2 linked regions of the Astyanax mexicanus genome follow. The protein of the gene in region 1 purifies or fractionates together with the protein of each later gene. This does not show direct contact. Links are inferred from orthologs where the notes say so. Each region holds a gene or a part of one and is shown in the gene's direction. Other genes may lie near its edges.

Region 1 (7,569 bases):
AATATTACAATATTTCATGCTATTTTTCGAGATAGAAAAAAAAAACACTGAATAAAAAAATATAGCTCAAAAATACACTTCTGCAACAAAATAAAAATTATTTTATTATTGCGTACGATATGATATAAAATGGCACACCCCTAACTGAGATTTTTTTTGTCAATGATCCAGAATGTCATGATACTAATAATACACTCTAAATATCTCTATATATCCAGGATTAAAGTAAAATAAATTATATATAATGGGAAATGAGAACAGTATATCCCAATGTTTGTGGACACAAAGCCTAATTAATGCACCGCTTGTCTAGTCACTGTAGAAGAAGTACTGCAAATAAAATAAGAATCTTTAAAGCGGATAAACAGTCAATCATGCTATGCCAGAATTATTAACATTTTTGATCCTACTTTAAAATCATTAGAGTATTTTTCATTTGCATTTCTTTTGCATTTGATTTTGTGTGGATGTATAACACTTAATTCAGTTTGTATCAGTAATCTGTCATTCTCTCCCTCTTCTCTGCAGGTTGCTTTCACCACAAGAATTTATCACCCAAATATTAACAGTAATGGCAGCATCTGTTTGGATATTCTAAGATCGCAGTGGTCACCAGCATTAACTATTTCTAAAGGTAAGCCCCTTCACACTGAACAGTAAAACAGTACATGAGGAGGACTGTGTTTTAAAGTGTTTTGGTGGTTGCTGTGAATAATGATGGTGTTTGATTCTTCCTGCAGTTCTCTTGTCCATCTGCTCTCTGTTATGTGACCCCAACCCAGACGACCCGCTAGTGCCAGAGATAGCTCGCATATATAAAACAGACAATGAAAAGTAAGTATCGTATCATATATTGTGTTTTTTTAAGTGAGAATAATCAATATTGAATGCATTTACAGAACAGAGTTAGTCAGTAATCTGCTTTATTCAATAATTGACGTGTTCATATGAATTGGATAATCGGAAAACAAACAGATTTAAAAGCGGCATTTTACAAAACGATATCCTTATATCGTTATCATGTTCAGTGAATTGTGATATTTTTATAATACTGTGATACTCAATGTGTTACAAGGCATATGTATTACTGAAGAGGATAAAACACTCTTAAATAAGCAAATACCAGGAATTACGGATTTATTTGCGTCAGTTTCACAGAATTTAACAACCAATTTTCTTCACCACAGGTTTAATGACCCTATTCATTTGATTATAGCGCCACCATGTGGAGTAATAAAGCAGTAACTTTAGTAAGTCTAATCGGTGGGCGAGATTTGGGGACTTTAATGCGCCTGTTTTAATAAAATATGCATGCAAGACGCCACTTGTTGATACGGTACGATACGATACAATCGAAACAATGCAATATATCACAATATCGATATAGTGTTCCAGCCCTGCCCTGATCTCAGTGGGGGTCTCACTGATGAGCTGGGCCGCTTTCCCTCCCTCAGGTATAATAGACTGGCCAGAGAGTGGACAGAGAAGTATGCCACACTGTAGGGGTAAGGCCGGGCATTGTGGGAAGTGCTGGTGTGTGTAAGCGTGTTATGCAGATGGTGTTCAGCATTAGGAGAGATGAGGACGGTGTGTAAAACAGAGGCAGAATGCTTTCAGCTTTGACCTTGCTGTTTTTGTGTGTGTGTGTGTGTGTGTGTGTGTGTGTGTGTGTGTGTGTGTGTGTGTGTGTGTGTGTGTGTGTGTGTGTGTGTGTGTGTGTGTGTGTGTGTGTGTGTTGGCATGGGCACAGTTGGCAGAGCAGTGCTCGCTTGCCCAGCATGCGACACTATCGTTACATTAGCACTCCTCAGCACCACTGTTAATCAATCTCTCTCTCTCTCTTTCTCTTTCTCTCTTTTACTTCCTCTCTTACTTGCTTGTTCCTCTCCATATACAGGCGTTTTTGTTCCTACATAGTAAATGAATAGTGAAGTGATCTATCAGACTATGAAAGAACACATAAGTAATCTGTCTGTCTGTCTACTTATTGTTCAGTGGGTCTATCTCCTCTCTCTCTCTCTCTCTCTCTCTCTCTCTCTTTCTCTCTTCTTCATCATCTTTCTCTCTTGAATTAAAGTTTATTAGAATTATAGGTTTAGTTTTTTTATTGGTATTTATCTCTCTCTCTTTCTTTATATCTCTGTCTCTTGAATTCAATTGGTGTTTCTCTCTTTCTCTATCTCTCTTTCTTGAATTCATGTAGTTTTATGTATGTTTCTATTGGTATTTTTTCCTCTGTCTCTCTCGCATTCTTTCTCTCTTTCTTGAATCTTTCTTTCTTGAATTCAAGTAGTTTTTGTTATCTTTCTCTTGATATTCTTTCTCTCATGAATTCAGATAGTTTAGTAGTTTAGTTTGTTGGTATTCTCTCTATCTATCTATCTCTTGAATTCAAATAGTTTTAGTTATGTATCTGTTGGTATTCTCTTTCTCTCTCTCTCTCGAATGTTGGAATTCAAGTAGTTTTATCAGCATGAATTGTAAATAACAGCTGTCAACAAGTTGCCAATGCAAATAATAGAGTGACTAATGATGATAAGTCATGACAAAAGCTAATGAGTGAATAACTTTATGAAAAACAGCAATTAAAACATTTACATAAAGTTTATTTAGGAATATATTTACAGTGGTTTAATGCAGTCTCTCTCTCTCTCTCTCTCTCTCCCTCTCTCTCTCTCTCTCTCTCTCTCCCTCCCTCTCTCTCTCTCTCTCTCTCTCTCTCAGGTATAACAGAATAGCTCGGGAATGGACTCAGAAATACGCCATGTGATACCTGACGGAATCTCACCCCAACAGATCTGCATTATAGCCCCCTTCTCCCACCTTCTCAACGATCTGGCACTTCCCCTCCACCCCCACCAGCCTCCACCACCCCCACCTCATCTCCAACCAAACCAGTGATTTTGTTTAGTTGTTTTCTGTCCCTGTTAAAGTGTCCTGCGCTGCGAGCGAGAGGACGTCACGGCGAGATCACGCTCTGTCCATCTTTTGTAAAACGCTCTCGGGTCTGAACTACGAAGCATGTGTATCGTCGAGGACCCCGCCCACTCTGTAACCAGGTGTAATAAAACAAAGACATAAAGCAAATAAATAAGAGTATCAAGCGCTTTTATCTCACGCCACATACTGGAGGTGCTATAACGATAAAAAAAATCTATATGTATAAATATATAATGAATAAATAAATAAATGAATAGATTAAATAATGGTCCTTTTGTGAACAATCTGTCACTGGGTTGGCCTTCACTTTTTTATATATGAAAAAATGCTTTTACAATAGCAATGATCCAGTCTGTGAACTATACTCCTCCTGCTTCTGACTGACTCGCCACGGGCAGAACCGGCCCCATGGTTCCATCAGCAGTTCTGAAGAATATAAGATCTATTTTATGCATGTCGTTAGGATAATAACCGTGAATGGGTCAGCCGTCTGCTGAGAAAACAGTGTTAAACACACGTGTCCACTTGAGAACTTTTATTTTGTTACTCCGTTTTCCTGGCTGTTTCATTTCTTCCCCCTGTCGTTTATAGAACGAGGAGCTATTAGTTCATCTGCCTTCCTCCTCCACACTGTTGGCTTGTTGCACTGAATTTATGATTGGACGCTCCTGACGGATGACCGGTCAACTAATAGCTCCACTAGCTGTTCATTTGTTTTCTCAATAAAGTTGGTAAAAGTACTGATTTAAGAGTGGTGTCGTCTTTACTGCATGCATTAACTTTAAGTAGTCTTGTAATACTTTGTGTGGGATTGCAATATTAAAAAAATAATAATTATTTGGGTATTTATTTATAATTGTATTTATTTATAAAAATATTCAGTTTCTTTATGTGCATTCATTTATAGAACAGCAAGTTTTATTATTTTCTGGCTATGAATTAATTATCTCAATCCCACACCATAATCAGTCATGGCCATGATCTCATTCACATGCCTTATTTATCTCGTTCCCAAGCATTAGGATCCCGTTCCCATGGCTTAATAAGAATGCTGTTTTCTGACTCTAATATTCTACTATAAAATCTATATAGCAAATTAATCCAATTTTTTTGTTTCCCTGCATTGGAAGCCTGTGTGTGATATTTTATATTTTTATATTGCTCTTTTTATTTCATAAAGCATCCCTAAACATGAAAAAACATGATTAAAAAGTGTTATAAATCACATTAAAATTAGTAGAAATTTGCTGTTACTTTGCCATAATGGCTCTAGTACTTCAGTTTTTCCAGTGTTTTTGCAGTAAATAGGCCGTAGTTACTCTTTCATTGATTTATAAACTTGTTGATTGGGTGTTTTATGGTCTATTCTGATGAATAACATCTCTCAAATAGTGTGAAGTGCAACAAAATATTTAAAAATAAAGAAAATACCTGATGTCCATTATTATAACATTTTACATTTTCTGCAAATAAATCAAATGCTTTAAATGACAATATTTTTATAGCAGTGTTTGTACACACTGTATTATTACACAATTCAATAAGACGGTAATTACCGGGTTTGACCAGCAGGTGTCGCCCCCGCAGCGGCCGGCTTTGCTGGAGGAGAAGTTGCGTTACGTCACAGGGAATTTCCAGTAAGGAAGTGAACTTTTCTTTACAAACAGATCGATCCGCGCTCGAGCGGCGACCATTAACTCGATATCGCCTCCGATCCGCCGGATAATTCACCCGCACTGCGCCCGAGCCTCTCCTCCGCACCCAGCCGAACGCCCGCCCGGCCGGAGCTCTGCGCCACCCGCGGGGCTGCATGGCTCCTTACCCGCCTGCCTGAGCTCTCTCTGCGGACTGACAGCACATGTGGAGCGGCCAGACACACCAGCACAGGTAGCGGACTGAGCTCCACACACTGCACTCTACAGTCTACACACACTTTACTGCTGTTTTACTGCTGTTTATGTCATATAAACACTGACACTTATATCTGCTCTACATATATATATCCTTATATAGAACACCAACTATTGCCTAACTACCTAACTGCTCATAGTATAGTTATTAACTCTAACCATTCACAACATTCATTAAAAATATTACTTTTAAGATATTACTAATCTATCTAATCTGAGATACGTTTTAATATATTAATAGTGGGGAATTAACCCACATTATGCGCTCTATAACACTTTCAAATCATTAAGTCTTAAGATTTCCCTATAATAATAAATCCGCTTTTGTTTCATTTGGATGACTTTGTAGGTAGTTTTGGGCTGTGTCCAAATAAGTACTCTACCTCACTAGTTACTTAGCTAGTTAGCTAACTTAAGTTTGCAGACTATACAGTCAATGGAGCATGAGTAGTAGTATAGCTGGCTAGTGGTTGATTTTGAGATATTTTAAATAAATGTCCCTAAGATTAATCTGCTTTTGTTTTATTTGGATGTCTTTGTAGGTAGGTATCATTCGGCTGCGTTCAAATAAGCACTCTTACACACCTAGCTAGATAACTATACCAGTAGTTTGCAGAGTATATCAAAGCAAGTTAATTCAACACCGTTAGCTAGTGGAGCTATCTAGTTAGCTAGTGGTGATATTCGGGATACAGCCCACTGTTTTAAAGTCTTAAGTCTTACAAATGTCACTGTAATAAATCAAATTTTGGATGGCTTTTAGCTTTGGGCTGCGTCCAAAGCGTCTAGTGGTGGGATCGGGATACAGCCCACAGTTTTAAAGTGTTATAAGGCACTAGTCAATAGTGCAGCACTACTATAGGTTAGGTAGTGGTGGGATTTGGGACGCAGCCCACTCTCAGCACTATCAGACGAAGCTGAACTGAAGAACATGGTCTTGTTATTGATGTGTTTAAACAAATAAAACCACAAGTTTACACTCGTATGTGTTAGTCATTTCATTTCTCAATAAAATCCCAGTATATTAATTAAGAATATGAAATATCAGAGGCTGCTCAGCATCTTAAACTGACTGAAACTGACTCAAACTGAGAGTCTGGGTATTTTGTTGACTTGCCGACTTGTTGGCTTGTTAACTCCGAGTCCCAGTGCTGTTAAAACACTTAATTTAGCACTTTTAAACCGTATAAACTTAATATAAGTTTCCTACACGACAGCGGGTTAAAGTTGCGGCGAAATCCGACCACAATCTCAGAAAATGAAGTTGGATTTAGCTGATTTAGCTGAACTTCGCTCTGCTACTTCCCATTTCCACACACAGACTGAGGGCTTTAGCTTAGCTTAGGTTTAGCCTAGCTTAGCTTAGCATGCTAACTAACATTAGCTCATTAATTCGAGGCTTTGACCGTGTTTTTACAGCTCAGCCGCTTCAGCTTTAGTTAACAGACTGAATAAAAATATAATATGATATATATATATATATATATATATATATATATATATATATATATATATATATATATATATATATATATATATATATATTGGTTAAATAATGTTCAATAAAGAGAAAGATTATTTTAAATATAATTACAGGGCTGTGAAAGTGCACTCACTGTAAATTAGCTAGCTGTTATTTCTACTCCCTGTCAGAGCTTAGCTTTAACCTTTTTTAGGTTTTTATTATTATTTTCAGCTGTAAGTTCTATACGGCTTATTTTATTTTACTCTATACTATATAAGTTAGTATGAAGCCTCAAACAACACTGATAGCAAGAAAGTTGAATAAACCTTCAATTTTTGACTGTATGATGGAAAAGCAACCTTTAATCTTTCATTTAAAAGTTCTTCCATAATATATAATTAATATTAATGCACATTTATAATTAGTACATTTAAATGTCCCTTTCTACAAAACAACAACAATACAAACACGATATATACATATGTAATGTAAGTAAAGGTTAATACAAACAATATACAGCTCTGGAAAACAAATAAGAGACCACTTAAACTTTCTTTGATTTTACCAAATTGAAAACCTCTGGAATATAATCAAGAGGAAGATGGATGAACACAAACCATCAAACCACCAAACTGAACTGCTTAAATGTTCACACCAGGAGTAAAGCAGCATAAAGTTATCCAAAAGCAGTGTGTAAGACTGGTGGAGGAGAACATGCCAGTATGAATTGCAGATAAGCAAAATATTACAATGTCAGTTTTTTCTCTCTAATATCGTGCAACCCTAGCCTGGATCTTCTGAAAGTCTTCTCACAGTCAGTTTTAGGGGTTGATTGTTTACTTGCTGCCTAAAATATCTCATATTAATGCTCTGACATTTGAACTCTCCATTCCATGAGTCTTTCTACGGTCTATTGTTCTTGATCTGATCTGAAGCTACATGACGTTTAAAGGTCTGTAGTGATGGACTCGAGTCGCTGTCATTCCCAGTCTCTTCCACTTTATTAAAATATCACTGACAGTTGGCTTTGGAATATTTAGTAGTGAGTTTAGTAGTAAAATTTCACGACTGGACTTGTTGTTGCACAGGTGCTGCATCCTATCACACGGTACCACAGTGCGTTCACTGAGCTTCTGAGAGCAACCCATTCTTTCATTATTTTTTTTTATTCACACCTGTGGCCATGCAAGTGATTGGAATACCTGAGTTCAGTTAATTGGATGATTGGTTGATTGAAAACATTTGGTTTTAAGC
Region 2 (7,979 bases), on another chromosome or scaffold:
CTACATTTAAGTTTGTGGTTGTAATGTGACAAAATGTAAAACACTTCAAGAGGTATGAATACATGTACAAGCCATTATACATCTGATCTAAATTCAGTTGTATTCTGAAATACTTTAGAATAAATAACTCCTTATTTAACATTCAATAACTGTAGAAATGTTTGTTCATTTTTTAGAAATGCTCTAGTGGTAGGGAATATTTGTAATTTGGGACGGGGCCGACATTCTCTACCCATGTGGCTGACTTAACGAACTGGCAAATCTAGCAAGCAAACGCTCTCTGAACACCAGCTTTACAGTATTTTGCTGTTCCTCACTCCAACAGCTGAACAAACAGTGAAGATTCAACTTTAATCAAACCCTTTTAGCCCTTAAAGCTCTCTTTTGCCATAATTCCGTCCATCCCTGCAAAAATCAAACATTAAACTTAAATCTAAACCTAAGATTAGTGATCTACACCCAGGGGCAGCACCTGGCATGGACTTTAGGGGCTTCAGTCCCGAGCATATTTTAAAGGTCTCCTTCCAATAAAATCCACTTTTTCTTGTTCTTTGTGAAATAGAATAAGTCTCTTTGAGTTGTACATGATGCTGCACATGAAACTCTTCCTGAACCTCTATTGTCTACAGTAGCTGGTAAAAGAAAAGCCTCAGAAAAACTAGTCGATCAGTAAAAGCACATGTGTACGTCAATCGGTGAATTAATATTCATGGCCTCACCCATGATTTTGGGGAAAACTTACACTGCACTATAATTTGTTGATCTGTAATATATATTGAGATTTAAAAAAAAATAGAGGTAAAAAATACAGTGCAACAGGATTGAAAATCGGGGTCAGATCGGGTATTTTTCAAAGGATCAGAATCAGGTGGAAACTATACATTTGATTTGTTTTTGTTTTTTTTTTACTATATTTTTTATACTATTTTATTATATTATTATTTTTTATATTATTATATTTATATATTATATTTTTATTTTTAACTATGCCGATTATTCCACCCACTCAGTTGCACTCACTCGATTACTAGCACATACCTGTCAAGTTTTAGATTTAAAAATAAGGGATATTTTCCTCTGTACGCTTAAAGCCGTCCCACCAGCCCAACGAAGGTTCAGTATCCCTCACATTTTAAAACAGGTTTACAAGAAATATAAAATAACCACAAGTGAACCACTTACACACTACAATTAGATTATAAGAATCTGAAATGTTGTGGACATTCCTACATATGTCATTCTTTTAATACAGCCAAATTAAAAATCCTTTTCTTTTTTTAAAAAATTAAGATTTCATGTCTTTTTTGTAATAAATGCACTCTTTTATATGATATATTTTTTATTTATTTAATGGATTTAAAATTGAACAAAGGGTGCACAAATTCTGCAAAATGACTGTTGGTGACCTAAACATAGTATCATGAGCTTTTACTAAAAGGACATGGACCAGATATGTTTCATCAGTAAAAATTTGTCCTAAGGGGCCTACACAATAATTTTTAATTAATACTTCTTCCTTTTGATCACTCCACCCCTGATCAGTTCAGTTAATTTCGGTCCTCTCCACATTTCTAGTTAAACTGAGTCACAAGTTGTAAATTTGTTTATTTTAAAAGGTTTAATCTGTGTGTTTTATTTCGGAGACGAGTATTTTTAAGCAGCTATCAGAAAAATCTCATCACAGTTTCCATGATTAGCCTACCGTTCCCTTTCTTTAAGAAAAATCGCTGTATATCCAGATCTACGGTGGCTGAGAAAGCCCAACGCAGTGCAAATTGAAAAGCGCTGCAAAAGCACAAAACACATCCATCAAAATTACAACACAGGCGCAGCAAATAGAAAAACGCGCTGCAAAAAGAAAAACGCGCTGCAAATAGAAAAACGCGCTGCAAATAGAACCACAACACAACGGAAGTGAGTCACAACACAACGGAATTTTCCCGGGGGACCTTAAAAGATACTGTACCAGCTAAGCTGCGTCTTCAGTAACGTCTCGGACTTCAATATGTGTACAAAGGACAATACGTGGCAAACAAGGCGTTTTGTGAAGCAGAACTTTTAATAATATGCACACAACCGTGGTAATCACAGGTAATAAACATAACTTACTTTTCAGAAGCTTGTTTGCCACTTATTGTCCTTTGTATACAGCTGGTACAGCATCTTTTAAGGTCCCCCGGGAAAATTCCGTTGTGACTCACTTCCGTTGTGTTGTGGTTCTATTTGCAGCGCGTTTTTCTATTTGCAGCGCGTTTTTCTTTTTGCAGCGCGTTTTTCTATTTGCTGCGCCTGTGTTGTAATTTTGATGGATGTGTTTTGTGCTTTTGCAGCGCTTTTCAATTTGCACTGCGTTGGGCTTTCTCGGCCACCGTAGGGGTTTCCCGGCCAAAACGGGAGACTTGACAGGTATGCTAGCAACATACCTGTCAAGTTTTAGATTTAAGAATAAGGGATATTTTCCTCTGTACTCCTAAAGCCGTCCCACCAGCCCAACGAAGGTTCAGTATCCCTTACATTTTAAGACGGGTTTACAAAAAATCTAAAATAACCACAAGTGAACCACTTACACACTACAATTAGATTATCAGAATCTGAAATGTTGTGGACATTCCTACATATGTCATTCTTTTAATACAGCCAAATTAAATACCCTTTTCTATATATTTAAAAAAATATATAAGATTTCATGTCTTTTTGTAATAAATGCACTCTTTTATATGATATATTTTTTATTTATTTAATGGATTTAAAATTGAACAAAGGGTGCACAAATTCTGCAAAATGACTGTAGGTGAACTAAAAATAGTATCATGAGCTTTTACTAAAAGGACATGGACCAGATATGTTCCATCAGTAAAAATTAGTCCTAAGGGGCCTACACAATAATTTTTAATTAATACTTCTTTCTTTTGATCACTCCACCCCTGATCAGTTCAGTTAATTTCGGTCCTCTCCACATTTCTAGTTCTAGAGTCACAAGCTGTATTTTTTTCTAAAGTCACAAGCTGTATTTTTAAGCAGCTATCAGAAAAATCTCATCACAGTTTACATGATTAGCCTACCGTTACCTTTCTTTTAGAAAAATCGCTGTATATCCATGTATGTTTTAACATCAGCAGCTCTAACTAGCTGCCTGAACTCACAGCGACGGGGGGCTTTCCCACACTGACCCTCCTTTGTAAGCTGATTGGCTGTTTCTCCTGAAAGGCGGGACTTTCTCCTTGAATCGGCTCCACGATTGGTTAAGAGAGCGGTCAGTGCCCTGTCTCCTCAATAATATATATTTTTTTATTTAGTATAATACGGGAAATTTACGGGAAAATACTAATACGGGAGGACGGCGGGAAAGAGGAGTAAAATACGGTAGTTTCCCGGCCAAAACGGGAGACTTGACAGGTATGGCTAGCAATGCCTCCTCTGACACATGTAAAGCCAGCTACCACCTCTTGGAAATGCAGCATTAGCGAGTAGCGAGCACGGTCACAAGAAAGCACAGTGACTCGGCTCTGATACATGAGCCAACAGATGCCTGTGCTGACTGATATCACCCTTTGGAGTGATGTGGGAAAAAAGCGCCATCTACACACCTAGAGAGAGCAAGACCAATTGTGCTCTCTCTCGGACTGATAGCGAGGTGCATGACTGGGATTCGTGGCAGCACTTTATTCTTCTGGACCACTTGGAGTCTCTTATGCATCATATTGCTATGGGTGGGCGAAATAATGACATTAAAAAAAAATATATATATACATATATATATATATATATATATATATATATATATATATATATATATATATATCATGGTTTTAATATTGTGGTGATTAATACAGTACATTTTTATGTCACTGACACCACTAATATAAATATAATTAAAATTCGCCAATCTAACAATGACTCTTTTTTTTTACATTTAAATAATCCATTATTAAAAGCTTATGAATGTTTGGTAGGCCACATGATTTACACATGCGTGCACAGTTTGATATTTTCACTGGTGATTTTAATGTTTTCAAGTAAATATAGTAATGTGTCTTATAGTATGTAATTATTATTCTTTAAAAGCATAGACTAGTACAATATAATACTTTTAAAATGTGATATGAAGTGGTATATTTTGATTTTAAAAAATTGGTTATTTAAAAATAACAACTTGGATGTGTTTTTTTTTTTTTTTTTTTTTTTACTGCATTGCCAGAGTATCAGATCGGGATTGGTATTGACAGATACACAAAATCTAATTTTCTCTTTGTGCATATAGTAAAACTGGAGTAAAATAAATTATATTGCAGTTTGCAAAGACAGTATTAAACATTATATTGTGCAGTCCTGCCCTAAACCTGTGCTTATCTGGTTGGATTCTGAGCAAAATTGATACTCAAATCAATATTTATTAATCATAATATGACTAATAATAAAATAAAAATGTTATAAAATTTCAATTTCAGTTAGTTGTAGATATTTTATTAGTTTTCTTAGTTTAAATTACATTAAAACTAAACTAAAACATGAACATTTAAAGCAGGTTCTTCCTTTTTTACGGCCACCAGGTGGCGGGGTAACCTACATACATGTAGGTGTAACAGAGGGCTGCTACGGAGAAGAGGCGGGCTCCTATAACCTGCTCTCTGTGTTCTGATTGGTTAAAATCTCTCAAGACTTCTCAAACAGGGCGGAGTCTTCCTACGAGAGGAACCAATCAAATCTAAGCCACGGTTCTCCCGCCTTTTTTGGATACGCTTACTACTTCCAACCACGTCATCCCACGTTTTAATACACTTTACTGCTAATTATAAACCTAGCTTACTTTAACACTAGATATTAATCTGTATTAATTTATATAAAATAATAATAACACAAATAATAACCGAGAAAACGCTTCAGGTGTGGCCTACATGGGCGGTGGCACAGTTCTGATTGGCTCGGATAAAACCGGAGGGCGTTTTGATTGGCTGTCCGCCTTCGCCACGCCTGTCTATCATTTCCAGGCAGGCAGCGAGTTCGGTTGAGTTGTTTGTAAGTTGATGTGTGTCCAAAAAGAAACTCCTGCGTGTTAAAAAATGAGCGGTAAGTTGAGTTAATTCGGTTTAAAAGCGGGTTTTTAACGAGTTAGTCGAGTTAAGGTGAGGTAGGCGTGATAATAAGCACTTTTCGGGGCGGTTTTGTGGGGTAGGTTTAGTCTGCAGTGACTGTAAGTGTCTGAAATGATTTCTGAAGATTTGTAGTTGGCGAGTTAAAGTACGAAGAAACCGGTTTGAAGTAGGTTAAAAGTTGATAAGTGTAAACGGAGGCTGTTATAATGCGAATTAGATGTGTAGAACTGGATAATTAATAACTGAGTGGGTAGTTAAAGTGTCTAACAGAGACTTCGCTACTGTAGCTACCGCTAGTTTAGCTAACCTAGCTAGCTTAGCTAGCGAGCTAACCTGCTAAGGAACCTTAAGTTTTTTTGTACTAAAAAACTTTCATAATGGCTTTATTAAGGTAGCTAGCGGTTAGATAACTAGCTTTTTGGGTGGTAAATCGCTTTATTTAATATTTAATCTGTTGTGTTTTTACTTCATTTACAAGTGTTTTGTCGTTAAAACTTTCATTTGCCTGTTTTAAAATTGCTTGTTTTTTGGAATTGTCCGTTCCACCTTAAAGAGTGCAGCAGTTCCATGGAACTGCTGCACTCTTTAAGGTGGAACGGACTATTGCAAAAGCAAGTCAACTTAAAAGTGGTTTAACGTCTTATTTGCTCTTTAAGCTAAATAATAATTATTAAAGACTAGTAATAACTCAGTTGTAAACCATACAAGTGATTTAAAAATATATTTTCTTGTCTACAGAGCGAAATGAAATGGCTGCGATGGGAGAAGGCGACGGAGACTTCCGTAAAAAGCGAAACACCAAAACAGACCAGGTCAGTAATACAACTGTTAAATATTTGATATAGCTATAGCTGTTATACAGTACTAGGCAAAAGTTTGACCACACACCTTTTCGTTTAGTTTATTTTTTCTTTATTCTTTATTCTTTAGTATTTTCTACATTGTAGATTAATACTGAAGACAACAGGATGAAATAACACATGCAGTTGTAAAAGTCGTGTGTCGTTGCAAGCCTCGTTTTCTTAAAGCTAAGTTTTTTTAAGTAATTGGTTTCTCTATATATTTATGGAAATACATATTTAAGGCATTTTTTATTTACTTTAGTGCATATATCAAACAGTGCACATATTTCTTGGGAGTTTATTAATGGATATTTAAATTTAAATAATTGTTAGTATTATGTTGACAACATTTAAAATGTATTATGTTTAATATTAAAGTTGTATGTAAGGTTGAAGGTGGCTGCTTACTATTACTTTAAAAGAATTAAGAAATCTTATGTATTATATAAATGTTATAAATGTGATTTTGAAGTTATCTACAAGAACTAAAAATCATAATTGAGAATCGCTCATATTTTAAGAATATAGTTTTTTGTTGTACAATATTGATTTTGGTTTAAACAGTGGCAATATATCGCCTTGCTTATATCCCCACCAAGTTCTTTCCATTATACCACCAATACAAAATTTTCTTCAGTTATTTAAAGGCTATATGTTGAGACAAGTGTTGTTGTTTTTTATTATTAGTCTTAAACCAGCTATTTATTATGTACCAAAATCTCTGCACTCTCTGTTTAATTTCAAGTGAAGAAGTTTCGTTGTATTTGGTCGGTCATGTAAGGAAGGAACTCCAAGGAATTCAAATTTGGAGATTAAGATATGGGACAATTATATGGCACATGCTGTACATGATGTAAACACAAACACTCAGTGCTAAACACTGAAATTACTAATTCCTTAATCAGCAATAACAGCTTTATTTACTTCTGCACTGTTGCACTGTAATAAGAACAATTTGTATATATATAATTTTTTTTTAATTATTTCGCTACACCTTGAATACAGTTTACACCTTCATTGGAAAAAATTATGTAAAGTTACTGGAATAAAATTTGATGTCATGTTGTAAACTAGTTACATAGAAATTCTTAAAACCTGACCCACACAAACAGCTCTTTATCTGTTTGTCTTACAAAACCTTTAAGAAGGTCTGTTTTTTTACTAAAAAAGTACCACTTGCTTAGTGCAATGGTCCTAGGACCAGTGTTGGGAAATGCTAAACAGCTAAAATAAGTGTTGGAGGACTTTACGTAATTTTATGTTGCTTTGTGATAACACAATTTATCAATATTTCGTTACATCGTTAATCGTTACATTCCGTGTAATCATACATTATCCCACACTGCATTTTACTAAATCAAAAATGTGATGCATCAAGTTATTCTGAGGTTCTCCTTCCCACAGGATGCCCAGCCGCCATCACCTTTAGCCCTGTTGGCGGCGACTTGCAGTCGGATAGACGAGAACGACGCAGCTGAACAGCAGCTTCAGGTCCATCGGAATGATTTAACCCACACCCAGGTATCTCACGCCACCAACGGCTGGCAGATAGTTTCTCAAGGTGTACAGACGACCACTGCCTCCGGGAATAACGTCTCTCAGAAGATCGTTCAGGATAAAAACCAAACTATCGTGACCTCCGGTGTCCAGCAGCAACAGCAGCAGCAGTATATAGTGGCATCAGCACCCAGCATACAAGGCCAGCAGCTGCTGACCACCATCTCTGGTGTGATGCCCAACATCCAGTATCAGGTCATTCCACAGTTCCAGACAGTGGACGGGCAACAGCTGCAGTTTGCCCAGACTACCCAGGATGCTTCTGCTGCAGGAACAGGGCAGCTTCAGCTCGTGTCTTCGCCCAATGGTGGGCAGCAGCTCATCGCAACGTCGGCCGGCCAGAATACTGGAGCTGGCAACATCCTGACTGTGCCAGGTCTTCTTCAGCAGGCCATTCCTCTTCAGAACCTGGCACTGGGCAACACTGTTCTGCCCAGTCAGACACAGTTTTTGGCTAACGTGCCCATGTCGCTCAACGGTGGCATAA

The links.
Region 2: the proteins of nfkb1 (region 1) and sp1 purify together in Homo sapiens (affinity purification with western blotting, with the first as the bait; 3 studies listed by BioGRID). This does not show direct contact. The link is inferred for Astyanax mexicanus from reciprocal best matches to the Homo sapiens genes NFKB1 and SP1.

The regions. Positions count from the first base shown.
Region 1 is NC_064426.1:2,198,547-2,206,115, forward strand, and holds the start of nfkb1 (nuclear factor NF-kappa-B p105 subunit), read left to right. Parts: upstream 1-4,556; 5' UTR 4,557-4,827; intron 4,828-7,569. Other genes in the region: ube2d2l (ubiquitin-conjugating enzyme E2D 2 (UBC4/5 homolog, yeast), like), read left to right, coding at 529-634, 741-834, 1,455-1,503.
Region 2 is NC_064431.1:15,805,070-15,813,048, forward strand, and holds the start of sp1 (transcription factor Sp1), read left to right. Parts: upstream 1-4,960; 5' UTR 4,961-5,060; coding exon 5,061-5,067; intron 5,068-5,831; coding exon 5,832-5,905; intron 5,906-7,339; coding exon 7,340-7,979. UniProt on the Homo sapiens protein: Transcription factor that can activate or repress transcription in response to physiological and pathological stimuli.